Linked DNA regions of Neurospora crassa OR74A. The protein of the gene in region 2 purifies or fractionates together with the protein of the main gene of each other region. This does not show direct contact. Links are inferred from orthologs where the notes say so. Each region holds a gene or a part of one and is shown on either strand. Other genes may lie near its edges.

Region 1 (3,566 bases), on a different chromosome or scaffold from region 2:
GAGGTAACATTCGGATCTCCCCAGACGTATGATAAGGCCGTATACTCCGTTTCCATTGACAGTTGAGTTATGTACAGTCTGCATTGGATGGGGTCTTGAAGACTGTTGGCCGGGAGAAGCTCGAGCAAGCGGATGTCTTTTTGAGAAGTGTCGAGACGCGTGGCGTGGATTGGGGTCATAATGATTTTAAAGGACCGCGAGTTATGACGGACGATTGCTGGACAGAGTCAAGCGATCTATAACCCAGAGAGTGAATGGTGGAAATGAATTCGTGGGTGAATGGAAGCATGGAGATTTTGATGGTTTGGGTTGTTGACAGGGAGGTGAACATTTGTTCAGTTGACAGCGGGGAGCTTCGCGTCTTTAGTGGGTTGAGATTAGATGGAAAGCTGCCTCGCGGCGTGCCTTATCACACGGAAGGTGCAGACAGGTAGGGTTGGATGATGGAAGACGTCGGAACTGGCAGGCAAGAACGAGGGGGGTGGCTGAGAAGCTACCGTGGGTTGCCCAACGCCAATGTACTTCTTTCTATTGGACACTGATGCACATAAGAAGACGTGTACTGCTTCGTCCAATTCAGCTTACTCTTCGGTCTCATTGTCTTCAGTAGGCGGCTGTGCCTGACGAAGCTCGAGCTTGATCCGCCAGTTCATGAACTCATCTGTGATGATGTCTCCGTGGCCCACCTCCTCGACTTTGAACACTTCGATTTCTGCCGACCGAGGCCTTCTCTTGATCCTCCACACGCCCTCGTCGGTGATGGTATGGCGAAGCCCTGAAAAGAGACTGTTAGTCATAGATTCCAAAGCATAAGACGCTTTGCTGGACTTCAAGAAGACAAAGGAAATGACAAGACTCACACTCGAGGAAGCCGTTAGCAAAGTTGACGCACGTATCCCCATCCCATTTTGGCCGCCCATTCTTCTTCACCATGAGCGGTATCTCCATCGTGCGGAACTCTTTGGTCTCAACCAGCAGCCCATCCTGCGTCCGGAATCCGACAATGATCTTGGGGACGCCTAGGAGAAAGGACTGGATCCAAAACTTCATGAGCTTACGCTCAAAGTTATTGGCCTGGCGCTCATTTTGGATTACTGCCGACGTCTTGAGCTCCACCCAGTTGATTGGATCGCCTTGAGTCCTTGGTTTGTCGTCCCATACTAAGTAAGAAAAGACGAGTTATTAGTTGGGGTTGACGAGAGGCGTTAGTATAGGTAGGGAGACAAGAGCACTAACTAGCATCAACCTCACCACCGATACAGAGAATGGTCTTGCCAATGCCTGTACGGACTACTGAGCAGTATTGCTCCTTGTTGTTCACGACATGATCGGGACGGCTTTCAATGAAATCGCGAGAGGTCTGGCCCCATGGTTTCGGAAGTGTGCTCAGAGTCTCAAACTTGTAGCCTTGGAAGCCAGGAGACGTCAGCTTACCAATTCAGCAGATATGAAAGACGTGGACAGTGAGTTAGCTTACCCCAGTACTGCATCACTTCTTGCGGGATTGGCCCGTTCCATGGCCGCTCGTTTGCTCTCGATGCTTGTTTGTATGCATGGTTCTCTTCGATAAATCTTGTCGCCGTCAGTCAAAATAGCATGGGGGCGGAAACCATGTGGTCGCTTACATGCAACCCTTTTACAGCCATGTTAGTATGACAAGGCTTCCCAAGTTAGATGGCCAAGCGGCAGGTGTGGACGAACTCTGTAAAGGGTAGCATTCATCTCAAACCCGTCGTCATCATCAAAGGGGGCTGCCATGATCTATCACGGTGTATATGATGTTAGTGTCCGATATACGAACGACATCATGAAACAGCTAGTCTAAGGGAGACTCGCCTTTGTCATCATGCCTCTCCAAGTTACGATGTGAGCATCGATCGGTTTCGACGTCTTTTGCTCATAGTCGGCTATGGTGGTGAGTAGGCTGTCCAGATGTTCGTCTACACTATCGTCATGTTTGATGAAGCTCTCGAAGCCCTTGGACAGGTCGACGTTGAGGTCTGGTGTGTAATACCACTTCAATGACTGAGCTCCAAGTAAGAACTTGTGATCGGCATCGTATGAGAAGCATGCAAATTCCTGGTCAGACAGTTAGCCTCTCTGGTCTTTGGATGTCTCTAGTAGGTTGTTTCTACCTTTGGCCGTTTGACCAGCTCACTCTTGCCCGCAAACCGTGCTACAGGCTGGATTGGGAAAGCGGCGGTCATGGTAGAAAAGAGCGGTTGTCCGGCGCTGTGTATGTGGATGAAGGCTCTAAATCTGGAATTCCAATGCCCAAGTATAAGGACTTGACGAGTTATCATTAATACTTGAAAGGAGGATAGATGTAGAGAAGAGCCAGGATACCTTTATTGAGGTGGAAGCATCTCGAGCTTGTAATTCATGTCTCGTGGAGGCCGCTGCCCCTGCAGTGATCCGTCGTGCGTGAGGCCCTGTCAGTGGGGTTACGTACCTATGTAGCAACGGCGGGACCCTCTGTAACAACAAACAAGCACTGTACATCCGTTTTAGGGGATCATGAACGTGGAGAGAGGAGGACTTCTTGAGCAACACCAACTAAAGCACCATCATTGACCAACCTAACCTTGACACCCGACGACTCAAGTCCTGGGTGACGACGACTCAACGTCCACTCAGTAACACCTACAATTCATACCAACTGTAGACGGGCCCGGCACACCAAGCAGTAGTTCCATACTGTATACCTTAGGCATGCCGATAATGAAGTACCGCGCAACACGATAGCTCTCCCTCCTCGCGACACCCGGACGCCGAGTCAAACACACACCACCATCATGGCCGACCGATACGGCCAGCAGCCGCAATCCTATCGGGGCAACAGCGGTTTCGGCAACCTTGGCCGGCGTAACGACGACTACGATCCCTACGGTGACGGATATCCCAGCGACCGCTATGGCACCAGCACTAACCCGGCTTCAAGACCATCGACGGCCTCCCGAAATGCGCCCCCGCCCCGGTCTGCCCAGCGTGGCCGCACGGGTGCCGGCGATATGCAGATCCAGTCCAATGCCGAGCGCCAGATTGGAAACGTGCTGGATCTGATCAAGAGAGAATGGCCCGCCATGGTCGAGACAGACTGCATCCCCGTCCAGCTGGCTCTACAGCTTCTCGACACCAGCTCCGTCGGCCGCGCCCACGAATACCGCAACTTCCAGCAGACACACCAGTTCCTCCAAGAGTCCCTCAAGAACATTGTCCACGACCACCACCAAGGCTTCAACAGTTCCATTGGTACATTCCACAAGATCCAAGGGAGCATACAGTCCTCCCAGAAGAAGGTGCGCGCCCTCAAGGAGTCGCTGGCAGCCTCCAAGACGGCACTCTGCACCACCAATCCCGAACTCAAACAGCTACATGCCACGTCACGCATGTACGATGGCGTCCTACAAACACTGAACGAGCTCGATGACTTGCGCACCGTTCCAGACCAGTTGGAGGCCAGGATATCCGAGAAGCGTTTTCTGACCGCCGTCGAGGTCCTGCAGAATGCGCTACGGAAGCTGAGGAAGCCCGAGCTGGATAACATTGGTGCCCTGAGCGACCTG
Region 2 (4,051 bases):
CCATGCCAAGAATCTCTCCGTAGCCCTTTTCCGGTTGTTGGATGAAACAGAAAGAGACATTTATTTGTTCTTGACGACGCCGACCTGGGCAGGGCGAAGGACGCGGCCGTTGAGCTTGAAGCCCTTCTGCTGGACGTGGAAGACGACGTTGTGCTCCTTGTCGGGCATGGGCGCCATGAAGGTGGCCTCGTGCTCGTTGGGGTTGAAGACCTCACCCTCAGGTTCGATGCGCTCAAGACCGTGCTTCTTGAGGGTCGAAAGGAGGATGCTCTCGGTCATCTTGAGACCCTCGTAGAGGTTGACGAGGTCCTTGAGGTGCTCAGACTGCTCCTCCGACTTGAGCTTGTCCTGAGGAACCACGCTCAAGGCGCGCTCGAAGTTGTCGACGCTTTCAACGAGGTCCTTGGCGAACTTTTGAATGGCAAAGTCCTTGGCCTGCTTGACGTCGCGGGCGGTGCGCTCCTGGAGGTTGCGGAAGTCGGCGACGGTGCGAAGGCACTTGTCCTGTAGAGAGGGGCATCCCGTGTAAGTGACTTGTCCATCATGGCTGTATGTGCATATGCTTTGAAGCTCAAGAACCAACCTTCCACTCGCGGGCCTCGGCGTCCTTGGCCTCGAGCTGCTTCTTGAGGGCAGCAACTTCATCGGTCTCACCCTCCTTCTGCTCGGCGCCCTCGTCGGCCTTCTTCTCACCCTCAGCCTCGGCGCTGTACCACCGGGCGGCGGAGCGCAGCTGGGGAGCAGCTGTCCGGGCAGCTTGCATCTGGAAGATCTGGGAAGCAATAGGGCGCTGGGCGGCAACGCGGGCGCCGGAGCAGAGGGCTCTGGAAGAGCGGGTGAGGGCTGTTCGTAGCATGTTGGCTGGGTATCTGGATGTGACGGGTGGTGAGATGTGGCGATGTCAGAGACAGGGAAGCGTCGCGTGTTGAGAGAGGCACTTTCTCAGAAATTTTGAGACAGCTGCGCTAGCACGGGACGGAGACGGCATGGACGGGCGGCGGGTTGGGCGGCCAACAGGGGCCTTCGCAGTGTCTCCCACAGTGGGATGGTGGGAGGGTGGGTGCTGCTGCTGCATCAATCCTGTCGGCCGGCTGGGCGGGAGCGAACCGAAAAGCGGGTCATGAACGGACCGCCCAAAATCGACGAATTGCCTGCCGGACCATCGAGTTTTGCTCAAATCGACAATTGGAGCTTCGACACCTCAGCGCCCCGGGTGTGCCTGGCGGGGCTCTTTTGTGCGGGGGAGTCGAGATGGACCTGGCTGCTCCTACCTACTCTGTTAAAGACACGCCGTGGAGTTAGCCAACGCCAGGTCATGTGAAGATAAGGCCAGCTTAATCCTGGTCACTTTGTCTGCCCGCTGCGGCCTCAGCCAGAGGCAAGATTGGCGACTGGCCGCACTCAGTCCTACCATAGGTGGTGGCGCCTCCGAACCTCGACCCGTCAACGCGCCGGAAACCGAAATCAGTCCGCAACTTGCATTTCGCATCAACCGGCCCTCAACAAAGGCCACCTCAACCGCAACTCACCCTGCCTCGAACCACAACTTCCTGAACCGTTTCTCCCCCCGCATCCAAATTTTATCATACACCACAAAACGTACCATCGAGAACTGCCGACTGTAGCGAGAACAACTGACCGACCGCCGGTCAACACGCAAAGATGGATTACGATCCGATGGTGATGGACGACGCCGAGTCCCTGGGACCGGTCGTCAAGATCTCACAAGTATGTTCTGTGTGCTCTTGCTCACAGCAATTGCGCTCAGCTGCTCGTTCATCGTTCTAAACCATCATTCTAGGCGGACAACACCCGAGTCAAGTTTGAGCTCTCCAACACCGAGCTCAGCTTCGCCAACTCCCTTCGTCGCGTCATGCTTGCCGAGATTCCCACGATTGCCATCGATCTAGTCGAGATCGAGGCCAACAGCTCCGTTTTGGCCGACGAATTCATTGCCCACCGCCTGGGCCTGATTCCACTCAACGCCGAAGGTATCGAGCAGCTTCTGTATTCTAGGGACTGCGACTGCGACGAATACTGCGAGCATTGCAGTGTGACCCTCAACCTTCACGCCAAGTGCACTGGCGACGACATCATGCAAGTCTGTGCCCGCGATCTTGTTCCAGTCGGCGATCGCGTCAACCAAGTTCTCGGCTCGCCTATCATCAATGATCCTGAAGGCCAAGGTCCCCTCATCCTCAAGCTTCGTCACGGTCAGGAGATCAAGCTCCAATGCATCGCGAAGAAGGGTATTGCAAAGGAGCATTCCAAATGGGCCCCAAGTGCCGCCATCGGCTTCGAGTACGATCCTCACAACAAGCTGCACCACCTCGACTTGTGGTATGAGCAGGATCCTAAGAAGGAGTGGTAAGTACATTCCATCATCTTCACTTTTTCCAATTCCCTTTGATGTGACCGATGTCTCACCATTTTGTTTTTCTCTCCAGGCCTCCTTCGGAGTACGCCGACTGGGAGGAGCCTCCCCAGGAGGGCGAACCGTTCGATTACGATGCCGTACCACAACGCTTCTACTACAACGTCGAAACCGCCGGTCCTATTCCCCCTGATGCTATTGTCACTGAAGGCATCAAGGTCATCCAGCAGAAGTTGGCTGGTCTGATCCACGAACTTACCGAAAGCGATGGTGGTGAGAACGGATACAACGGACCGCGCAGCCCAGGCTACAACGAAGGTGGCGACAACTGGAACGACCAAGGATCGTTTACGCCATATGGAAACGGAGGAAACCAGAGCTCTTGGGGAGGTCAGGGAGGTACCACGCCCTACGGAGCGACTCCCTACGGAGGCGGCCAAAACCCTTGGTCTTGAGCATCATATGCTTACAGTTTACGATTTGCGACGTCAATTACTCCTCCTGATGGCTTGCGAGGTCATTGCGCCTGTCTTTTCCGGGAGGTTTTGGGTATCTGCGGTATCTTTGCGGCGCGAGTTCGAGCTGCGCACTTCGATTAACAACACAACACTTTTACCATTCAAACAAGATTGAGATTCGCATTCCTATACACACACTCGCGCCATCACCACCAGCTCAGCATCTACTTAGTAATCGTGGCGCCTCCGTCTCTTACTGCGGGGACCGTAACTCAACCACACTTTGTGGCTGAGGCCCACGGAACGGATCAGGGCCAAATATCGGACTTTTGGCGCTAGGCACGAGCCGCCACGTCAAGGTCAATTTTGGGGGAAACTGGGAAAAGGAACTTTGGGAGCTGGATCTTGACATTAGGGGAGAGGAGAGAGGCGCATTCTGAAGGGATTCAAGTCAGGGCGAGAGGAACCAGAGCATATCTTATTTGAGCGTCCCTCGTCCAGACACCACATATACTAGGCAGCGGAACGAGGACAGCTCTCTCTGTTATTGGCACCCTGCAAATGATCTATCGCACAATTGCGAGGTATAGACAAAAGGTGAATATAGTTACCATGGTCTGGCGACTACATAGGGGACCAAAATACCCAAAAAAAACATTCATAAACGGTTCGAAAGTGCGAGGTTCATAAAAAATCAAGATGCCATTCTCGCCGGTTGCTGGAGTCTAGTAAGCACTTGCTGCTCTGGTCTATTTGCTTTACACAACTCTGCAGGAAACACCAAACTCCCAGGGTAAGACTACATAAAGCCAAAACACCATCGAAATGACAGCCCTACCGCCGCTTCAATGCCTGACGGATGAGGGAACATCTAACAAAGGAAACCTATGAACAAGAAAACATGAGGTATCGCCATCTAGGTCCTGACAGAAAGACCACCACTCGGCCTCTAAAATGCAGATTTCCTCTATACAAATCCGGCCATTATGTCCCCACCCACAAACTTTTTGATTGAAATGCATTTGAAAACCCGCTGTTGCTGCTGCTAGTCCGTCTAAGAAGCAGACTCCCAAGACTGGACATGGGAGGAAAGGTGAAGAAAGAAAGAGAGATTAGAAAAGGTAGGTAGCCAGGAAGAGGAGCAAATGACAACTCATTCCTCAATGCCCTTGACCTTCTTGTACATCTTCCGATGGCCCTCCAAGAAGATGAAGGTGCA
Region 3 (3,945 bases), on a different chromosome or scaffold from region 2:
CTTTCAAGGATGCCTTTATCAAGGCCCAGAAGGACAACGAGGCTCTCTTCAAGGCTGCCGAGGAGGCCGCCGAGAAGAAGGAGGCTGAGGAGGATTCCGAGGACGAGAAGGCCGAGTAGATGTGTGGTCTAGTTTTGCATGAATTTGAAGTTGCTTTAGGGAAAGTTTTTCAACCACCCCGTTCTATTTTCCGTTTTGCTAGGTGTTAGAGGGGACGATGACATTACTACCTCCATGGGCTGGGCGATGGAATGAATGAAAGGACCGCTACAGAAGTTATGACGATGATGATTCCTAGGCTAGAGAGCTGGTACATGGGCAGCGTGTGCGAGAACAAAAGGTTGAAGTATCCGACATGAAAGCACTATTCAGGTGTGCGTTTGACGAGATTTCAATATACTGGTAACATACTGCGACGGCCCTTTTGCAACTATGGCTGGCAAGGAGGATGAGGATGGGGATTACTCTTAAGGGATCTAAATAACCTTTAGCTTAACCAACAGTTTTAGATAGAACAACTCACTACCCTTCACACCGATGCATTGCCTTTGGGGGTTTTTGATCAAGTTCTTGTACACACAACCTCGCCTCGTCATACCTGGCTGACGGCTTAGCACGATGGTCCACCAAAACATGAGACGAATCTGATGGACTGGCTAGCTGACGGAAACCTGAGCCTGTCTTGAAAGAAACACAAATACTGAATTCCGTTTGCCAAGTCGTCCGTGACGCGGTCTGGCGACGACCGTATAAAAAATCTGGTTGTTTTGCGGTTTTGGAGGTTTCTTCTCTTCTTGACTACCTTACGGCGAGCTGACGACGATCCTCTTCTTCGCCAGCGGTCTCTCACTACTCTTCTCCCGACGACGCAAAATCACATCTTGGAGCAATTTACTTCAAGATTTCAGGGTCTACTTCAGCATCACCGTCGTCTTTGACAACTTCTTTCCAAGACTTCTGCTTTCTCGATCATCGCGATATTTCGATTAGAGTGGTGATATCTTCGTTCACCTAGGTGAGCTCACCTTGCTTACATCCACGGTGAGGGGTAGAGGAATGCCGGCAAAGCGAGCTGACGCTCACTGCATCACAGCGCACCAGCCACAGCACGCACAGCGGTACCTCACTGAGTGCTAGCGACGGGACAATGGTCGACTTCAGCCATGGTTACGGTTTTGACTATGGCGGCGCCGCGACGCCTCCGTTCGCGAATGACGAAGGTATGTCCCGCTTGAACCAACTTCATCGGAGTGTACATATATTGCACAGTGACCCAAATTCCCAACCATCCAAGTCGCATCAGCACCATAACTCAGTAAAAACCTTCCCACATTGCCTTGCTTGAACACTCCCTTGAGCATTTTTCAACCCAAGGCCATCAGAGAGGAGACACGCTCTTAACCTTAGCCCCTCTTCACGATCACGATCGCGTTCCCATCCAACTTTTGCCTATCCCAATTTGTACGCTATACACCTTAGAGCTACGTTATCCCCATCATTATCCCTGGTTCCCAACCGCACGCCACGGCCCGCCGCGGTACCTTTACCCCTCCGTAACGGACGACCTTATTCTCTACCGCTACAAAGCCCAACTCTAGCAGCGCGACGGAATCTGCGACACACCAACACATACAACACACCAAACACTATAGAGCCCATTGCCAGACAGCCCAACGGATACAACAACGTCGTACATCCTCGAATCCTTGCTCTTCCTCAAGAGCCCGAACGCCACTGTCTTACTACTGTCCTGTACTCGAGACACCGACCGAACGCCGATTGTCAAAAGAGTGCTGTTCGAGTACTAGGACACGAGCAAGTGAAGAGAAGTACACAAAGCTAACCGCGGGAATCCATCCAATTTCTGGGAAGCAGAGGGCCTTGAGGATCGGTCGGACGTTCCCAGTAGTGCTAGTAAGAATACTCGAACCAAAGCTACTAGAAGGAATCCGAAGCGGGTTCCAGGCGCAAACAAGATGATCGTCGAGGTTAGTTTCCGGATTCCCAGTCCAGTGTGGTTGGTAGCTTGCGCAAACAGGGTGACCACTGTAGCGGCATACAGAACAGGTGCAGAGGCAGGGAAAGGAAAGGCCCTAGGAGGAGAACGTTCCGGGATAGCTGTTGTTCGGGAAATGGATTCGACGGCTAACGTGGGTTTATTTGTCTACAGCGCAAGATCAAGGTTGTCACAGAACAACACAATATCAACAAGCCGGCGGCACAGGAGGGCTACCCCATGAAGGAGTGGACGGTCGAGCTCTATATTCTCGACCAAGATGGCAAGGAGAGGCCCGCCAGGTGCTTCACGAAGGTGACCTACAACCTTCACCCTTCGTTCGCGAACCCTATCCAGAGTAAGTAGACACCGGAGCGGCCGCCGGTCACCTCTCCCCATCTCTGTTGTGTCTCGAGAGCCAGAGGTTGGCTAACGCGTCGCAAATTCAGCTTTCAACGATCCTCCCTTCAAATGCACCAACGAGGGCTGGGGTGAATTTGAGATGATCATCGATATGTACACCACCGAGAAAGGCGGCAAGATCTCGATCGCGCACGACCTGAACTTCCAGCAATCAGAGTACGAAAACATCCATACCGTCACCTTCCGTAACCCATCTCAGGCGCTCCAGCAGCTCCTGAGAGAGACGGGTCCCTTGCCCTCGGACGAGGAGCGCAAGCAGAAGAAGGCGGTGGACGGCGGTTCCAAGAAGAAGCGGCCCTACGACATCGAGCGTATGGCGGATGGCTTGACGAAGCTGGGCGAGGATGACCTCCTGCAGGTCATTCAGATGATCCACGATCACAAGGATGACAATACGTACATCCAGAACAACCTCGATGGTAAGTTTGCCCGCTAGGGAGTGTGGCCCCTGGAGGCAACACGAGCTGATGGCTGACTGGACATGTCTATAGCGGGCGAGTTCTCGGTGGATCTCTACACTCTTCCTGACAACCTCATGAAGATGCTCTGGGAGTTCTTGGTAAGTTGTTCTTCCCATTCTTTTGCCCCCTCAATCGGATCCTTCTGTAGCTAAATCGCTAATATTACCACAGGTCAAAGCCAACGTAGTCTCATAGTACGACTTCCTTGGTCCAAGTAACCTACAGTAGTCGATGGCCATCGATTTACGAAGTCATCAGGGACGGGAACATTCTTCCTTACTAGATCGCAGTGCGCACCATACCATACCCAGTACACCACCACCCTCTTTATTCACTATTATTGATCCCTTGACACTTCCATCCACATCAACATCAACCACCTTCACCATCATGCCATTGTAGCCTTAGGCTTCTTCGGCTCCTGCATTACCGTGGCGTTTATGGAGTTATGGTGGGATACGCAAAAAGCAAAAATTGAGAAAGATTCAAGAGCTTCTCTTGACAAAATTTGTGCTTGATTTGATCTTCCAGATTTCTTTCTTTGCGTGATATTCGATGGTCTAGGGTGTGTTCCGTTGAACCGTTTCCTTTCTGCCGGTGGGATCGTTGCCTTGATTGGTGGTGTCTGCTCGTGAGGACTGCTCTTCACTGGAAGGGAGTGGCATCGCTAATCAGTTTGTGCTTTGGGCGGACCTTGAACCTTATCATGTGCAAGGTTTGCCCCTCTAGGTAGGATCGTCATAGGGAAATTTGAGACTGTTTATTGGAAAGAAAGGTTCGGGAAAGGATGGGTAAGAGGTAGAAAGGAGGTATGTAATAGATCCCACGCCCATGGAATTCGGAAGGGAAAGAGAAGCGGTTATGTTGTAGGCGGTACCTAGTTCTCGATCACGGTCTCTCTACGTTGCTCGTCGTATGGCGGTATTAGAAGCAGAGAACATGCTGTATGGTTTAGTTTACACAGTTCAGGGTATGGAGCAGCAGTAACTGTCCGTTCGCCTTAGTCTCCGTGTCTCCTGTGCCTGGACTAGAGCGCTATAGATCTGCCAGCACCCTGCCAGATAG
Region 4 (4,063 bases), on a different chromosome or scaffold from region 2:
GATATGCAGCTAAGCATCACCTATGACCGCAGAGGACTACCTGGATCTCCAAGATGCCCAAGATTCTCGACAGCCTGACTGAGGCTTTGCGCATTTGCTGTCGAGCTCCCAGTCTCACTGATCTTGCGGATACACGTCGGCGGCTGAGTCGCTCGAATATTTTGCTCGTTGTTGACTGGATATCCGTTGCCTGTCGACCTGTCTTTATACTCCTTCGCTTCGAGCTGTTGTAATCATGCATACCGGGTGCTTGTGCCTGATCTAGGTGTAGGCCATGTAGCCAGGCTGCCCTGCCTATCATTGCGTTTGCGGAACCTGATGCTGATGGTGGGGGGAAACGAGCAAAGAGGACAAAGCCGGAATACCAATGCAAAGTAACAACAAGGCGACCAAGAAGGCATTCCCGTCTTTGCTATTGCCGTGTACATACCAGGTAAGGTGTCACACTCACAGTCCACTATCTCTACACAGGGAGGGGGAAGTTGGAGGGTTGGGAGAGATGGAAGTTCCAGGCGACACCCACCAACGGGATCGCAAGCGGCTTTTAGGCGAGCCAATCCCAGGCCTAGACCTGCCAAGGAGGGTCCGGTGTTCGGGACTCTTGCTAACAGAAGTGCTCGCAGTTGCGGGGGAAGGCAGCGCAGCTCCTACCCAGTCGCGTTAGTGAGCAACATGGACCGACCTATCATCATACCTGCTTCCCCAGAGGCGAGTGCATGCAATTTTTCTCGAGCCAAGTTGGAAGGGCCGCTTCACTGCAACTGGAAAGGGCACAAGGGCTCGGCCAGGATCTGACGGAGATTCAGAGCGGGCGCGAAACCTAGGTAGGTACCTACCTACCTGGCTGGCAACCTAGGTACCAACTACCTAACCTAGCTCACCCAATCTGAGCCTGTCCTTGTTTGGGTTATTTCAGCCGTAGGTAGGTATGTTTGAGTTTAAGTTGAGGGTTGTTCTGGCCTGCCATCGCGTCGGATGTTTCGAGTTTTTTTCGTTCCATGTCACTGAGTGCTGTCCTGTTCATTCCATCGATGTGGATGAGAGCCCAGTCGGCGGAAAAGATCACAACTGCACCGAAACCCGACCCGACCGGACGCCTGTTGTGGTTGTTGTAACGATAACCTGACTGGCAGGCACCGAGGTGACCTGACCTGGGCTTGAAAGAACGCGGACCTGGACCTGGACCTGCCTGCCTACCTCTACCTACTGCTCTCCACTGCTAGTAGGTAGTCTGGAAGCCCTGTGCGTTTCATTAGCTGCGTTGCGTGCGTGTAAATCTTGCTGCTCCATCGGCCCAGTAGCCCAATCCCTTCTCTGCGTCCCCGTCCAGTCCAGTCGCCAGTCTTCTCTACCTACCTACCTCTACCTAGCCCATCGCCCGGCCGGACCCCCCCCCCCCAGCAGCGGGCAGCCCAAGTGGAAGCGTCTGCGCTTGTCCGTCTCCTCCCAAAAGTCTCTAAGCAACCACCACCGACGTTGATTTTTTTCTCCCGACGCTTTCTATCCCAACCAAAACAGGGCGACGTCTTTAACCACAAAGAACGCGCATTTTCAACCCCACCCTGGCGATAGAAGTCCTATTATCATAGGCATCATCTCGCGGTATCTCGTCTTCTGGCCTCCGTCGCTCAATTAGACGCAGCTTTTTCCAGCGACCCTCCGACCGGCCCAGCGCTCTGTACTGCACCTCGCTGCAGCACTTTGCACTCTCCCGGGCAGTCCATCGACCAGTTTTTCCCGACCGTGGTTTTGGCAGTGGCAGTGACAGCCTCTCCCGCAGTCTCAGGACTACTTGAACTCCCCTTCTACACCCGACCTTTTCGAACCCAGATTTTCGACGACGACACGGCGTTTTGCCCCAGCCCCGTCCGCGCGACAAAAAAAAAAAAACACGTTACCTCACAAAGGACGATCAGAGACTTCTGGAGCCGTCTCCTTTTTCCATCATTGCTAACCCTCTTGTCGCCGCGTACTACCGGACCGATTTCTTCGCAATTCCGACGAGATTTGCTTGCGCTTGCTCTAGACCGTTCGCACCTCCGCCAAACCCAGTGACGATTTACTAAAACCAAAGCACAACATTCGGTATCCGAAAGAATACCTATTTCCAGAAAAAAAAAACACCAAAAAAATCACCGCTTGCTGTATTCCCAAGGAGAACGCGTTCGCCTCTCCAAAAAAAAAAAAACCCCCAACAATCGCTTCTTGCTGGGATCGCTTCTGAGCGTAAGTTGATCAACTGCCGTTACATTGCGGCTTCCCAGTCTCTGCCCAGCCGTCGCTCCTCCTTCATTTTCCCGCCATCGCGATCGCGTGCGGCAAACCCCAATCAGAATCTGCGTCGTCATTGGCAATGTCTAACGTCTTGAATTAGTCGTTTAGCTTTGCAGAAGTGCATCTACCCCAGTTTCCTACTCCTTACGCGTGCCGCTCTTTTAGACCCGTCCCATCCGACTAGCTGGGGTTTGTCGGTCGTTACCGTGACTTCGAAAACCTGTGCGCGGTATCTCTCCGGTTGGTGAGGATTTTGCAATGGCGGACCATACCGAAGTCGACCTCGACTCTATAATCGACCGCCTCTTGGAGGTGCGGGGCAGCCGGCCTGGTAAGCAGGTGCAGCTGCTGGAAGCCGAGATTCGCTATCTCTGCACCAAGGCCCGTGAAATCTTCATTTCCCAGCCCATCCTGCTTGAGCTCGAGGCTCCTATCAAGGTAAGCATTGTGTTCTTTCTATTATCCCTTTACATAGCCTCGGCATGCGCCATACTGCCCCTTCGGCAGTGTTCATAGCTGACGTCGTGCCCCACCTCCCTAGATTTGCGGCGATATCCACGGTCAATACTATGATCTCCTCCGCCTCTTCGAGTACGGTGGCTTCCCTCCTGAGGCCAACTACCTCTTCCTAGGTGACTACGTCGATCGTGGCAAGCAGTCCCTGGAGACCATCTGCCTGCTCCTCGCCTACAAGATCAAGTACCCCGAGAACTTCTTCATCCTTCGTGGCAACCACGAGTGCGCGTCCATCAACCGTATCTATGGTTTCTACGACGAGTGCAAGCGGAGGTACAACATCAAGCTTTGGAAGACCTTCACCGACTGCTTCAACTGCCTACCGATCGCTGCCATTATCGACGAGAAGATTTTCACTATGCACGGTGGTTTGAGCCCGGATCTGAACTCAATGGAGCAGATCCGCCGAGTCATGCGACCAACTGACGTACGTTACACCATTCATGCCCGGGCTTTCCGTTTGCTCAGGCTAGTTGCCGTAACATGAGACACTAACAATAGCGCCAGATTCCTGACTGCGGTCTTCTTTGCGATCTCCTGTGGTCGGATCCCGATAAGGACATTACTGGTTGGAGCGAAAACGATCGTGGTGTTTCCTTCACATTCGGCCCGGATGTCGTTTCTCGCTTCCTCCAAAAACACGACATGGATTTGATCTGCCGTGCTCACCAGGTTGTTGAGGACGGATATGAGTTCTTCTCGAAGCGCCAGCTCGTTACTTTGTTTAGTGCCCCCAACTACTGCGGCGAGTTCGACAACGCTGGTGCTATGATGAGCGTCGACGAAAGTTTGCTCTGCTCTTTCCAGGTATGTTTTTCTGACTTTGGCAAGCTCCGAGACCCTTGCACTCTTGCTAACCCCCTTTGCAGATTCTCAAGCCCGCAGAGAAGAAACAGAAGTACGTTCCCAGTCTCAGATGAAGCAATTCAAGACCCCCAAGAAGCACAAGTAAAGAATTTTCTTACGAACACACCCGTTTTCCTTTAGGTTCGGCCGCCGATAAACGTCTGATACTTTCGCCCGCCCGCAACGAACATGAGTATCTTACCGTCAGCTTGTCTACCGCCGCCATGTTTCCTGATCGCCAGGGCTCCCAGCCATCATCCCGTCTGCCGTCTGTTCCGACCACTTCTTTTGGGGAGGTCCTCGCCCCTCCTGCCGTGCCAACGAAACGAAAGCCACGTCTGCCCGTCCTGTCTCTCCATCCGTCCGGTCTCCACACAACTCGAGAGGGTAGGAAGGAAAGGGAATCTTTTTATATCTCGGGGGATGA
Region 5 (3,682 bases), on a different chromosome or scaffold from region 2:
GAACAGAGTGGTCCGTTCTCCGAGTGGGTTGGTTCATATCAAACGTCATGAGGGATGATTTATCATGTGGAGAGTGTACCAACAACTTTCCGGGCGTTGAGGAGATGTCAAAAGGGTTGTTTTTTGTCTTGATGACGAATATCAATTTAGACGAGAATAAAACATAATGAGAGTCCATGCATTACGACTGATGGAGCAGGACTACCTATTTTCTGATATTTGTCCCTTCATTTTGTGCAACCCAGGCGGGCATGTTGGACGAGAGGTTGGACGGGTTGCAATGGGCCAGACAGCAGGCAACTACGTAACATGCAACAACGAACCTTGAATGGGCAGGTTCCACACTTCTTTCAAGGAATCTCGGGGGAGATCTGGAGGTGTAGTGTGGTGGAACGTACCTTGCATAGGCCAGATAGTTCACTTTTTGGACAAAAGCATGATCGGCATTGGACTGGTGGTTGCTGCCCCTGAGCCTTTGTCCACTACAACTGCATACGGTGGACCTCAAAGGTGAGTGTAAAGACATGGGAGACTTGGAATCTGATAATACCGTGTAGACTCGGGGCATCCGTTTTCAAGTTCCGTGGAAATCAGGCATGATCTGTGAGCATACTGTACTGCAACATCCATGGCCGCCAGAAATTGTATGCAAGACGTTAGTTGACTTCGAATATCCACCATCCAGCGCCTTTCCAAAAAATAGATGAAAAAAGGCAGAGTATAAGAAGAGTTGAGGTTACAGTTCTCCGGGGTAGCAACAAAACTCCATTTTTAATACTAGTTTTGCGGGCATAATATATACAAATCAGGCATATGCATGTCCGATTATGCCTGATTTCTAGAGAACCTGAAAACAGATACCCCGAGGTTGGGGCGATACAGTAGACGTACCATGTGAATGACGGAGGTGGTTTCCATCCAGGTCGCCTCCTTCACTTGGTCGCGTTCCAGAGGGCATGTAGCGCATATGGATGGTAGGCCTTGCTTCGCAGTATTTAATCAGTAAGTACCTACCTGTAGGTACAGTCCCGGTGAGAATGGAACTGAGACCCACTTGTTTGTGTCACGTGCATTGGCTACTCTTAGCCTATTTAAGCTAGCTTGTCTCTCCAGATCCCTCTTCTCTTCTACTCTTCAGCCTACTTTTGACCAATGAGAAATCATCACTTTTTAGAACCGTTATTTATACAGTAGTACGGGTACACCCACGAACCTCGAGTGGCATCCAGAAAACGGGCTACACCCTGTTGGCATGGCACTTATAGCGTGTCGTCCAGACGGTCCAGGGGATGCGATAAGATAAGCGTCACGCCCAAGAGTTCATGACGACCCGTTCTTGTCGACGAGACTTAGCAATTCGTGGCCTCCAACACCAACTTTGACCTCAACAACTTTTTACAGTCCATTGTTCACCACCCAGCATTTTTTTCGATTCCTCTTCTCGCGGCACAGCCTGAAAGAACCAGTATTGAATCGAACCTACGACATATCACAGCTATTGGATCTAGCCAGCTCTACTCCAGACAGCTGTCGCAAATCACCACCACCGTCTACGTCGTGTCCCGTCGCTCGTCCACGATCCGCTCTCGCTTGCCGCCCTCACAATGGAACAACCAGGGCCCATTACCGACATTGCCAAGCCTGGCATCAAAGCGCCCCGCGATTTGGCCATTTCGCTGCGAGAAGAAGTTGCTCGGATTCTAGGGAGGAGTTCCATTGGCTTTCCCGGAGCACAACCCGTCAGCTTTGCTCGCAAGCACCTGGAGGAACTACGAAGAGAGGAGTAAGCCAAGGCTCGTCTGTTACGGTTGCGCATGTCATGACTTCTGGCTAACCATCCGTAAAGCTACTATGTCTGCGAAAAATCCGACGGCATTCGCTACCTCCTCTACCTGACCGTCGACGAAGAAGGGCAGGAAGTCCAATACCTGATCGACCGCAAAAACGACTACTGGTTCCTCCCTCGCAACAGCATGCACTTCCCCATGCCAAACGACATTCAAGCCTTTCATCGCGGCACCATCATCGACGGCGAGCTGGTGATGGACACAGTGCCCGGCACAAACGGTCGAAAAGAACCGCGCTTCCTCGTCTTCGACCTACTCGCGCTCGACGACAAAGCCGAACTTTTGAACAAACCTCTCGACAAGCGCCTCGGCTACTTCAGCGCCTACATATACGAACCCTACAAAAAGCTGCTTCAACAGTTCCCACAGGAAATTCCCTTCATGGCCTTCAAGGTGGAGATGAAGCGCATGGAGCTGTCGTACGGCATCGAGACCATGTTCCGCGAAGTAATACCTGCCTTGAAACACGACAGCGACGGTCTCATCTTTACGTGCCGCACCACCCCTTACCACTTCGGCACCGACCCGCACATTCTCAAGTGGAAAGCGCCGCACGAGAACACGTTGGATTTCCGCATGCGCCTCAATTTCCCCCTTGTACAAGCCACCGAGGCCGAACTTGACGAAGGGTTTCCCGAACAATTTACAGATTACGACTCGGTCCCACAAGCGGAACTGTACGTTTTCTGCGGCAACGACGGACCGGGCGGAAGCAAATACGAACTCTTTCCGGACCCACTTTATATCGCGGAGGACGAGTGGGAGACGCTCAAGGCGCTGGGCGACCCGTTGCAGGATCGCGTGGTGGAGTGCTGTCTGGATGCCGAAAACCGGTGGCGGCTGTTCAGGTTTCGTGACGATAAGAATGAGGCGAACCATACGAGTACCGTCTCCAGCGTCATGGCGAGTATAAGGGATGGCGTGTCGGATCAGGAACTTCTGAGCGCGGCGACGGCGATAAAGGAGAGCTGGAAGATACGCGCGCAGAAGAGGAAGGAGCAGCAGCAGCAGCAGCAGCCGAAGCACTGATTGTGTGCCCAGCGCTGGCGGAGCAGGCCCGTGAGGTTTGAGCGGTGTTCTTTAGGGGCTATTTGGAGGGCCGGTGACTTTCCTCTTCCCTTCTTGTTTCCTTGTTCTATTTCATCGGTGTTTAGTGGTCTGACTTGGAAACAGGTGCTGATATCTGCACCGACTATACCTGGGCGTTTGGGGAATGGTGGGCTTTTGTTTTGGGCGGTAGCTCTTAATGCATATCTTTTTTTTGCCCTTTCCAGTTGTGAAATGGCATAGAGGGTGATTAGTATTACCCGTGCTGGGACCCCGCAGAGTTCTCTCTCTCTGTGCAGAATTGCGAGTGAGACTTGTCGATTCAAGTGATGTGTATCATTTATTTTGTCTTGGCTATGGGTAAGTTTGTTTCGAGTTGCCCTGATGACTACCCAAAACCATCCAACAGAACAATATTGAACTACCTTGTTGCTTTTAACTAGGTGAAAGACGCTGGGAGAACCTATCGGTCATTGTGCCATCGAATGACATGTCCTTTACATCGAGTTCATCTTACAAAGACCAAATCACTTCCTCAATCAAGTGCGAATGAAAGTAACTCAAAGAGAATTGTAAACTGTGTAAGCAACAGGACATAACGACACACCAGCACATGCATATAACGGTGTTCAATTGTATATCCAAATACTAAATAAATCTAACTCCCATTTCCTCTCCCCTCCCCTCATCATTTACTTGCCAATTGTCAAAAACAAGCGATCCCCCACATCTCCCAATCCCGGCTTCAACATACCCCCCTTTGTAAGTTCCTGGTCCACACCGGCCAG
Region 6 (3,990 bases), on a different chromosome or scaffold from region 2:
GCTGCTATGGATTACGGGACATAGCTGGCTTGTCTCTTTGGTGTTTTCTCTTTTTTCCTTCTTCTTTCTCCTATTCATTTTCTCGGAGAACGACGACTAACAAACAGACGCATTGGCTCGTGCCACGGCTGGCGTGCTGGAGTAAGGGTACAAGGCACTTACACTCCTAAAACACAATAGGAGGGCTGGGGTTGACTTGGTTATCATATCAATACATTATATCAATAATAGACACTATTCGTTAATCGGAAAACGTTATACAGTCCGATGCTGGTTTGTTTGTTGGCTCAGTACACTAGGTACCTAGGCACCTCTACAGTACTGTAGGTACCTACTCTATCCACGAGACGATATCAATCCCGAGTAGTCCAAAAGCTTACAAGGACAAGTCAAAATGGCTGAGTACGAATTACAAAGGCATTAACAAAAATTGATATAATATATTGAACATCGGAAATGGCGTTGTTACCTCTAGCTAAGGAAAACGTCTAGACAAGTTGACGCAAGGTCTCGAGCTAACAAACAAACCAGTACTGGACTGTACACTAAACATCAGTGACTTCCATTCACCTACTCGTAACACTCTGCCAATTCCGGAAGCAAGCCACGGGCATCAAGACCACCAAAGGCAAGGGAACGGACACAAAGATGGTCGCGGTTGAAGGGCAGTGTGTAATGTGTTCTAGATAAAGAACATTAATACATAAAGAAGGGACGCCACCTTCCCGAACTCACACCGTCACACGGGACCTTTTCAATGAAGTATCGGGGCCGAGGTTGAAAACTGAGGTGTATGCTGAACTGCTCTTCTTGTCAGATTCTTCAAAACGATGCCTGTATGGGATTGGATTTGAGAAGTCTTGGGTACCTCTACCTATGATGAGGACTGCTGGCCACTACACTTATGGTAGGTATCAATGCAGCACGTCCGTGTACCTATCAACCCCGCAAACGGTCTGGCTCAGTCAATGCCGCCCGCGGTAACAGCAGCCATGTCTTGTTATGTATCGGTACCTCTACAGCCCGCGACACTGATAGGGTGACATGGAGTCCACAGACAGGTGAGTATATGATTGGTCTGGAATTCACCCATTGACAAAAGCGAGTTGGAGAAGTTCCCCAAAATCAGCCTCCGGAGGTACAAAAGGGCGCGGCTCCCATCTCCCCTCGGCGGCCTTTGCAGGCCATGTCTCGCCTTCAAATGAGCCGCCTCGAGTTTCATTGCTTCACTGAAGTCAAACTCGCCCGACTGTCGCAATATCACTACACGCACAGAACTCTCAACCAAGACATCTCCGTAGCACCTCACCGGGTTACGGGCACATTACATCACTTGTCAGTCACTTTTTCTAGATAATATACCAGCTTGAAGATGATCTCTTCCATACTGTACATTGGATGCAGGTTGACATTGATATCCAAGTGCAGCCTAGGTACCTACCTAGGAACTGAATTGATCCAAATCAATTTGGCTGTTGTTGTACAGGTACATCGAGATCAGCTACAGTACAACCCTTTTGGCTGAGAGCTTGGACCACCCCTTCGTTCCGCCCCATAAGTGGTGCCGCAAAGCTACCTGCGCTAGACCTGATCAGGACATATTCCCCACTCTGAATCTTGCAGAGCTTCAGAGGTCCAGGTCCAGATCCAGGTCGATCGTGCAGTGAGTGGTCGCACTTCTACGTTCCATCTTCAATTGTCGCGATTCACAGCAAAAGAACAAAACATCGATCACGGGCGCCACACGACAAACCCACCACCAAAGCCTTCAACAACCAACACCGAAAACTGCACGCGCTTGTTGCGCTATGGGTTTACTCATTCTACCAAACACCCATCATCTACTTTCATCTCCTCAGGGAGCACCGTTGTAAGTGGACAGCGAGCGAGCCTCCTCGGTGGCGCGTCGCCGTGGCCGGGCATGGATTGCGCCGGATGATGGTTCTCGATGCTAACACTCACTCTTCTTAGTTGAGTCGCCACCTTTACACAATCGTCCGACCGATCGCACAGGCCGATAAGCCATATTCGCGACCATGGTCAAAACAATCCAGCTGGGGAGCCGGCTGCGGTACCCCATCACCATCACCAAGCTCTACAAGGAACCCAACCAGCCCATCAAGAAAAAGGAAGCGCTCTTCCAGTACTCGTTCAAATGGAAGCGCACCGTCGGCGACAACATCCGCGGAGAGACATGGGAAGCCGAAGAAACCACCTACGCCGACTGGAGTTCGCCCTCAGACGGCGAGCTCAAGTCATGGAAGATCCGCGTCGGCCAAGAAATCTCCAGAGATCAAGACTGTATGGTCGTCAAGGAGTCGTGCTCCCATGATGTCCAGTTTGGCGGCCTCTGCGCCATCTGTGGCAAGGACATGACCGAGGTCAACTGGGCCGCCGAGTCCCGCGACATGGACCGCGCCCCCATCAACATGGTGCACGACCAGACACACCTCACCGTCAGTGAGACGCAGGCCCAAAAGACCGAGAACGCCCTCCAGCGCCGTCTGCTCCAGCACCGCAAGCTCAGCTTGGTCGTCGATCTGGACCAGACCATCATCCACGCTTGCATCGACCCGACCGTTGGCGAGTGGCAGAAGGACCCGTCCAATCCCAACTACCCATCCGTCCGCAACGTCAAGTCCTTCCAGCTGGACGATGGCCCCCGCGGCGTCGCCAACAACTGCTGGTACTACATCAAAATGCGGCCAGGCCTCGAGGACTTTCTCAAAAAGATCTCAACCATGTACGAGCTACACGTCTACACCATGGGCACTCGCGCCTACGCCCAGAATGTGGCGCGCATCGTCGATCCCGACAAGAAGCTGTTTGGCAATCGGGTGATTAGCCGCGACGAGAACGGCAACATGTACGCCAAAAGCCTACAGCGCTTGTTCCCCGTCAGCACCAAGATGGTGGTGATCATTGACGATCGAGCGGACGTGTGGCCGCGCAACAGGCCCAATCTGATCAAGGTCTCGCCATATGACTTCTTCAAAGGAATTGGTGATATCAACTCTGGGTTTCTGCCGAAGCAACAGGGTCTGCTTACTCCGAGTGCGGCGGCGACCACGAATGGTGGTTTGGCGCGCATTGCACCGGCGCCATCTCCCGACAAGGAGGACAGCACCACGATGGAGCCGCCGCTGGAGAAAGCCCTCGAAGAGCAGGAAAAGACGCTAGAAAAACAGATCAAAGACAGGCCTTTGCAAGCGCTGCAAGAGCAGCAAGACAAACAAGATGAAGCAGCCGAGAGGGCATCCGCCACCCCAGAAAGCGGCAACACCGAGTCCACCACTCCTCCGCCCCCTCATCACCGGCACCAGGTTCTGCAAGACGACGACCGGGAACTCGCCTTTCTCGAGAACCACCTCACAGCCCTCCACAAATCCTTTTTTCAAGCGTACGAGCAGAACCGCCTTTCCCAACCCTCCTCCTCCCCATCCTCGCTCGACACTCAATCCATCCCGGACGTAGGATCCATCCTCACCACGCTTAAAGCTCAAGCGCTCAGCGGATGTAAAATCGTCCTCTCCGGGATTGTTCCCATAGGGATGGACGTCTACCGCTCCGAGATTGGGTTGCAAGTTGCCAGTTTTGGAGCCGAATTACGCAGCTCCGTGACGCGAGACGTGACGCACTTGGTAGTCAGCTCCCAGAGGCCACGGACGAAGAAGGTCAGACAAGCAATACGCTACCTGCCCAAAATCAAGATCGTCAACCAGGATTGGCTAGCAGCGTGTTTCTCAGAATGGAGGGTGGTGGAGGAGGGGCCTTATCTCATCGAAGGACTGGAGGATGCGCAAAAGAAGTTGAACGAAAAGGTTCAGGATGCCGAGGCGACAGAGACGGTGAGCGATGCTGATGATACAGACAGCGGAAATGCGCCGCCGGGGAAAAAGAGGATCCTGAGATTAAAGTCGCCACCAAGAGTCAGGTTCGCCACCGCCGCTAGCACTGGGAACGACGAGGACGAGGATGAGGACGAGGAGG
Region 7 (3,757 bases), on a different chromosome or scaffold from region 2:
AACAGCCCTGGGACCTTGGAAAATCGGGGCCCAAGGAGGGTGACAAGGATGGCTGCCACTGCCAAACCCCTTCACCGCCTTGCCGCTTTGGGTGAAGTCACGGTCAGGGGCAGAACACTGGACAGGCGGGACTCCAGGCTGCAAGTAACAGGCCAGTCAGACCGAAAAGTGTTGCTTGTTGCAGACCATTATTTGGCAAAGCCTCGATTTGGATGCCCGGTTTCGCATGAGCCATGATTCGTTGTGTTTTTATTGCCGACGGAGACCCGAGTGTATCAAACCGCCTCGATCCAAACTTGTCAAGTTCAATTCACTGGAGCGCCATGCATGCTTCCCTCCCCAAAGTGTCTTGTTCTTGGTGTCCTGTCTCGAGTAAACGGGCGAGGACAAGACGCAGTCAACAGGGACCGATACACCATTACAGCGCATCAGGGGCTTCAGGTCTCACACAAAATGACAAGAGAGTACACACTACTGGAATCCACAACGACGTCATGGAGTTGACCACGAGCACCTGTCTGTTAAATGTCATGAGGCTTCAGAGGGGATGGACGCCTTTGTAAATATTTATCATCGTATGTAATATGGATAGTCTTTTGTTGAAAAATTCATCTCGATGTGCCAAATCCTCTCTCTCCTCCCGCCCACCCGTGACCCCAATATTCAAGGGCACAGCAAGTCCGTGTGTGGCACCCACTCTATGCACGGAGAATCACGAGGCCCCAAGGAACTGTTGCGTGGGGTGTCCCGATGCAGCAGCAACTGACGACGGATCGAGAAAGTGTGGATGGCTCATGAGAGGGCGACGAGGATCATGGTGCTCATCCGATGCTACACAGCACACGACCGGGCTGCAGGTTCGCAGCTTTGGTTCCTGTTGTCGAGAACCAACGGGCCGGTACTTCAAGTCTTTCATGTTTGGTGAGGTGTGACCTTTTTGATGAAAACAAAGTATAAAAAACCAGCATGAATTGTTAGTACAACTGGTATCAGTTCAAGTGGCTTCCATAACTCAACCTAATTCATCTCAAATAGAGAACTAAATGAGGCCATCAAGGTGATAAAGAATACTAGAGGTAAGCAAGCAGCCTCAAGCTGACCAAGCAACAACTCGGAGGATGGCAGTGGCACCCACACGAGGACATGTCGACAAGGACAAGAACCTGCTGGGCTTGCCACACCATCCCACTAACAAGATGGTGCCCCTGACAGCTCCGTCCCCGCGAACGAATCCCCAATCGCGGAAAACACAACGGGCGGTACTATGGTACCTATGTACCTGTCCCCTTGCCCGACCCCGCTCCCCCAGAGAAAGTCCCCGCTTTTTGTGCCTTGTGAGGTGTGGAGCCGCCGACAAGCTGACGTCCCTGACGACGGAGAGCTCCATTGCCTAGAACCGGGAGAGTCTTGGCCGGAGTGGTGCTGGATGTTTCTCTGCCTGTTCCTCCTTCCCCCCCCGCCGTTGCCAGGTGATCTAAAAAGTTCAATTCTCCCTTTGTCAATTTCTCCTTCTGTTTTCCATCTCTCCTTTTTGTAGTCGCTTTCTAATTCTCATTGTCGAAGCTCTACCGGCGCAACTCAAGGTACGTCACCATGCCCCTCGCTGGTTGATCACGCGAGTCGCAATTGCGCCTGAACCTCCTTCTCCCCGTTGACATCGCGACCGCCACAAGGCTATCCGCCTACAGTACTCGAGGACTAAGCTACTTACTGACCGCGAACCGCATCGTGCTCTCACAGAACCGACCTACGAACCAATCACCACTACAACCACCACCAAAACCGTCATAATGTCCAACGCAAGTCAACCCACCACTCGCAACATCCAGAACAACAGAGCTGACCCCCCCCCTTCCCCCCTTCCCAGACCATCGAGACCGGTCTCCCCGAAGACTGGGAAGTCCGCCACTCGCAATCCAAGAACCTGCCCTACTACTTCAACAGCGCCACCAAGACCTCTCGCTGGGAGCCACCCTCGGGCACCGACGTCGACAAGCTCAAGATCTACATGGCCAAGTACCACTCGCCCACGAGTCAACAGCAGCAACAACAACAGCAGCAACAACCACAGGGAAAGATCAGGTGTGCGCATTTGCTGGTCAAGCACAACCAGAGCAGGAGGCCCAGTTCTTGGCGCGAGGTGAGTCCCCTTCCCGTTGTCCATTTCAAGTTGCGTCCGGAGTGCCTGGTGTTTGTTGTTGCCTCCGGCGGCCCCTCCGGGGAGGCTCCTTCGGAGGGCTGCTCGCTGCGCTCGTTTTGTTTTTCTTTCTCTCTTTCTGACCGTCGCTAACCACCAATGACAGTCCGAGATTACCCGCACCAAGCAAGAAGCCCTCACTACCCTGCAAGGATTCGAACAGCGCATCAAGTCCGGCTCCATTTCCCTCGGCGAGCTGGCCCTGACCGAGTCCGACTGCTCCTCTGCTCGGAAGCGGGGTGACCTCGGCTACTTTGGACGCGGCGACATGCAAAAGGAGTTTGAGGATGCCGCTTTTGCGTTGAAGCCTGGCGAGATCAGCGGCATCGTGGACACGGCTAGTGGGTTGCATTTGATTGAACGGTTAGTCGACATTTCTTTTCCTCGAAGAATCAGAAGAAGGAAGAGAAGAAGAAGGAGGGTACGGAGAGTATATTGGAGGTGGACGTGTGTTGCGGTTATCTGGTGGTGTGTGGTGACGGCCGCCGCTACTACCGAGTGACACCAGTCGCTGGCAAGACGGACATCATTCGTGAACGAACAAAAGTTTGCTGACGACGACATTGGGGAATGGTACAGGCTCGAGTAGGATCCCGATACGCCACGACGATCAATAATGACCACTGCCTCTGATAAAGAGGAACATCAAAGGGCGCTGAGAGCGTGCATGATAGTATAGGGAAGACGAATTAGGGATTTTGCTTCGAGCGCGGCGCTTTGCGATGGTACGAAGGAGAGGAGGAATTCGAGGGATGAGACCGGGAACACAACTCTTTATATCGGAAACCCAAAAGATGATGGCCGCGATGACGCATTACGCCATTATGCGGTCACTGGAACTTTGATATTGTCGGATTACTGTACGTAGTACGAAAAAGGCAACAAAAGGCTAGGTAGAAATATCTGGGTTCTCCTGGCTCAAGTGCGGATAGGGGGGAAACCCAAAGGAAAACAGCCGGATAGGAACAAAAAGAATAAAAAATAAAAAGCAGACAAAATAAAACATTTCACATTTCGAGACACACACACAATACACAACGGGGACCTAACATGGTCCAATGCCCCAAGTAACTAAGCGACGGCCAGGCAAGCACCCCAAGTGATTCCTAGCTTGAGTACTAGCTATTTACTTAGATTACCTCCGATCCCCTCTCTATGTGGCTGGCTGGGGTTCGAGACCTAGGAAGATGGAAAGACAGAATCGACATGTCTGGAGCTATTTTACACTATTATTAACTAAGGTAAGGTAGAAGAAACAGCGTTAAAGTTAAAGGGAGAATACGTATCAATCAATGAGCAACTAACTAACTACGTACTTACTAGTCTAGTCTAGTCTACCTGAGCAAGCTGCGTGCATCATCCATGTATGCGTGTGCGTGATCCGTACCTCTCTCTACCTACTTAGGTACCTAAGGTCCCTACCCTACCTACCTAAGGTCCCTACCTAGGTAGGTACCTACATTATGCCCTTGTTGACTACCAAGTCCTCCTACATATGATAACATTAGGGCTTTTCATTAGCTACCTAGAGGTAAGTAAGTAGCCGAGTGTTAACATTCT

What was found.
Region 1: the proteins of NCU01515 (region 2) and NCU04191 purify together in Saccharomyces cerevisiae (affinity purification with mass spectrometry, with the first as the bait; 4 studies listed by BioGRID). This does not show direct contact. The link is inferred for Neurospora crassa OR74A from reciprocal best matches to the Saccharomyces cerevisiae genes RPB3 and RAI1.
Region 3: the proteins of NCU01515 (region 2) and NCU00444 purify together in Saccharomyces cerevisiae (affinity purification with mass spectrometry; 9 studies listed by BioGRID). This does not show direct contact. The link is inferred for Neurospora crassa OR74A from reciprocal best matches to the Saccharomyces cerevisiae genes RPB3 and TAF14.
Region 4: the proteins of NCU01515 (region 2) and pph-3 purify together in Saccharomyces cerevisiae (affinity purification with mass spectrometry, with the first as the bait; 3 studies listed by BioGRID). This does not show direct contact. The link is inferred for Neurospora crassa OR74A from reciprocal best matches to the Saccharomyces cerevisiae genes RPB3 and GLC7.
Region 5: the proteins of NCU01515 (region 2) and NCU06260 purify together in Saccharomyces cerevisiae (affinity purification with mass spectrometry; 6 studies listed by BioGRID, with this or other methods). This does not show direct contact. The link is inferred for Neurospora crassa OR74A from reciprocal best matches to the Saccharomyces cerevisiae genes RPB3 and CEG1.
Region 6: the proteins of NCU01515 (region 2) and NCU09300 purify together in Saccharomyces cerevisiae (affinity purification with mass spectrometry; 3 studies listed by BioGRID, with this or other methods). This does not show direct contact. The link is inferred for Neurospora crassa OR74A from reciprocal best matches to the Saccharomyces cerevisiae genes RPB3 and FCP1.
Region 7: the proteins of NCU01515 (region 2) and ssp-1 purify together in Saccharomyces cerevisiae (affinity purification with mass spectrometry; 4 studies listed by BioGRID). This does not show direct contact. The link is inferred for Neurospora crassa OR74A from reciprocal best matches to the Saccharomyces cerevisiae genes RPB3 and ESS1.

What each region holds. Positions count from the first base shown.
Region 1 is NC_026505.1:5,153,122-5,156,687, reverse strand, and holds NCU04191 (rai-1), read right to left. Parts: upstream 2,313-3,566; 5' UTR 2,304-2,312; coding exon 2,136-2,303; intron 2,080-2,135; coding exon 1,837-2,079; intron 1,762-1,836; coding exon 1,702-1,761; intron 1,634-1,701; coding exon 1,626-1,633; intron 1,573-1,625; coding exon 1,478-1,572; intron 1,408-1,477; coding exon 1,237-1,407; intron 1,161-1,236; coding exon 861-1,160; intron 776-860; coding exon 582-775; 3' UTR 501-581; downstream 1-500. Other genes in the region: NCU17026 (hypothetical protein), read right to left, coding at 1-179; NCU04190 (exocyst complex component Sec8), read left to right, coding at 2,796-3,566. UniProt on the Saccharomyces cerevisiae protein: Decapping enzyme for NAD-capped RNAs: specifically hydrolyzes the nicotinamide adenine dinucleotide (NAD) cap from a subset of RNAs by removing the entire NAD moiety from the 5'-end of an NAD-capped RNA.
Region 2 is NC_026502.1:3,218,390-3,222,440, forward strand, and holds NCU01515 (DNA-directed RNA polymerase II polypeptide), read left to right. Parts: upstream 1-1,422; 5' UTR 1,423-1,662; coding exon 1,663-1,728; intron 1,729-1,801; coding exon 1,802-2,367; intron 2,368-2,447; coding exon 2,448-2,829; 3' UTR 2,830-3,551; downstream 3,552-4,051. Other genes in the region: NCU01516 (mitochondrial co-chaperone GrpE), read right to left, coding at 61-504, 584-856; NCU01514 (mitochondrial dicarboxylate carrier), read right to left, coding at 3,986-4,051. UniProt on the Saccharomyces cerevisiae protein: DNA-dependent RNA polymerase catalyzes the transcription of DNA into RNA using the four ribonucleoside triphosphates as substrates. Component of RNA polymerase II which synthesizes mRNA precursors and many functional non-coding RNAs.
Region 3 is NC_026503.1:3,880,445-3,884,389, forward strand, and holds the start of NCU00444 (transcription initiation factor TFIID subunit 14), read left to right. Parts: upstream 1-1,145; 5' UTR 1,146-1,976; coding exon 1,977-1,988; intron 1,989-2,170; coding exon 2,171-2,354; intron 2,355-2,445; coding exon 2,446-2,838; intron 2,839-2,910; coding exon 2,911-2,978; intron 2,979-3,051; coding exon 3,052-3,075; 3' UTR 3,076-3,945. Other genes in the region: NCU00443 (ran-specific GTPase-activating protein 1), read left to right, coding at 1-119. UniProt on the Saccharomyces cerevisiae protein: Functions as a component of the DNA-binding general transcription factor complex TFIID, the RNA polymerase II associated general transcription factor complex TFIIF, and the chromatin-remodeling complex SWI/SNF.
Region 4 is NC_026503.1:2,384,687-2,388,749, reverse strand, and holds the start of pph-3 (serine/threonine-protein phosphatase PP1), read left to right. Parts: upstream 1-1,263; 5' UTR 1,264-2,226; intron 2,227-2,374; 5' UTR 2,375-2,532; coding exon 2,533-2,712; intron 2,713-2,815; coding exon 2,816-3,217; intron 3,218-3,297; coding exon 3,298-3,597; intron 3,598-3,659; coding exon 3,660-3,688; intron 3,689-3,777; coding exon 3,778-3,793; 3' UTR 3,794-4,063.
Region 5 is NC_026503.1:2,102,469-2,106,150, forward strand, and holds NCU06260 (mRNA-capping enzyme subunit alpha), read left to right. Parts: upstream 1-1,147; 5' UTR 1,148-1,604; coding exon 1,605-1,783; exon of another isoform or gene 1,784-1,793; intron 1,794-1,846; coding exon 1,847-2,876; 3' UTR 2,877-3,182; downstream 3,183-3,682. Other genes in the region: NCU06261 (uracil phosphoribosyltransferase), read right to left, coding at 3,587-3,682. UniProt on the Saccharomyces cerevisiae protein: Second step of mRNA capping. Transfer of the GMP moiety of GTP to the 5'-diphosphate terminus of RNA via a covalent enzyme-GMP reaction intermediate.
Region 6 is NC_026507.1:20,301-24,290, forward strand, and holds the start of NCU09300 (RNA Polymerase II CTD phosphatase Fcp1), read left to right. Parts: upstream 1-1,190; 5' UTR 1,191-1,335; intron 1,336-1,423; 5' UTR 1,424-1,870; intron 1,871-1,971; 5' UTR 1,972-2,036; coding exon 2,037-3,990. UniProt on the Saccharomyces cerevisiae protein: Processively dephosphorylates 'Ser-2' and 'Ser-5' of the heptad repeats YSPTSPS in the C-terminal domain of the largest RNA polymerase II subunit (RPB1). This promotes the activity of RNA polymerase II.
Region 7 is NC_026503.1:4,945,918-4,949,674, reverse strand, and holds ssp-1 (peptidyl-prolyl cis-trans isomerase ssp-1), read left to right. Parts: upstream 1-1,447; 5' UTR 1,448-1,583; intron 1,584-1,740; 5' UTR 1,741-1,790; coding exon 1,791-1,799; intron 1,800-1,867; coding exon 1,868-2,140; intron 2,141-2,303; coding exon 2,304-2,560; intron 2,561-2,776; coding exon 2,777-2,786; 3' UTR 2,787-3,257; downstream 3,258-3,757. UniProt on the Saccharomyces cerevisiae protein: Essential PPIase specific for phosphoserine and phosphothreonine N-terminal to the proline residue.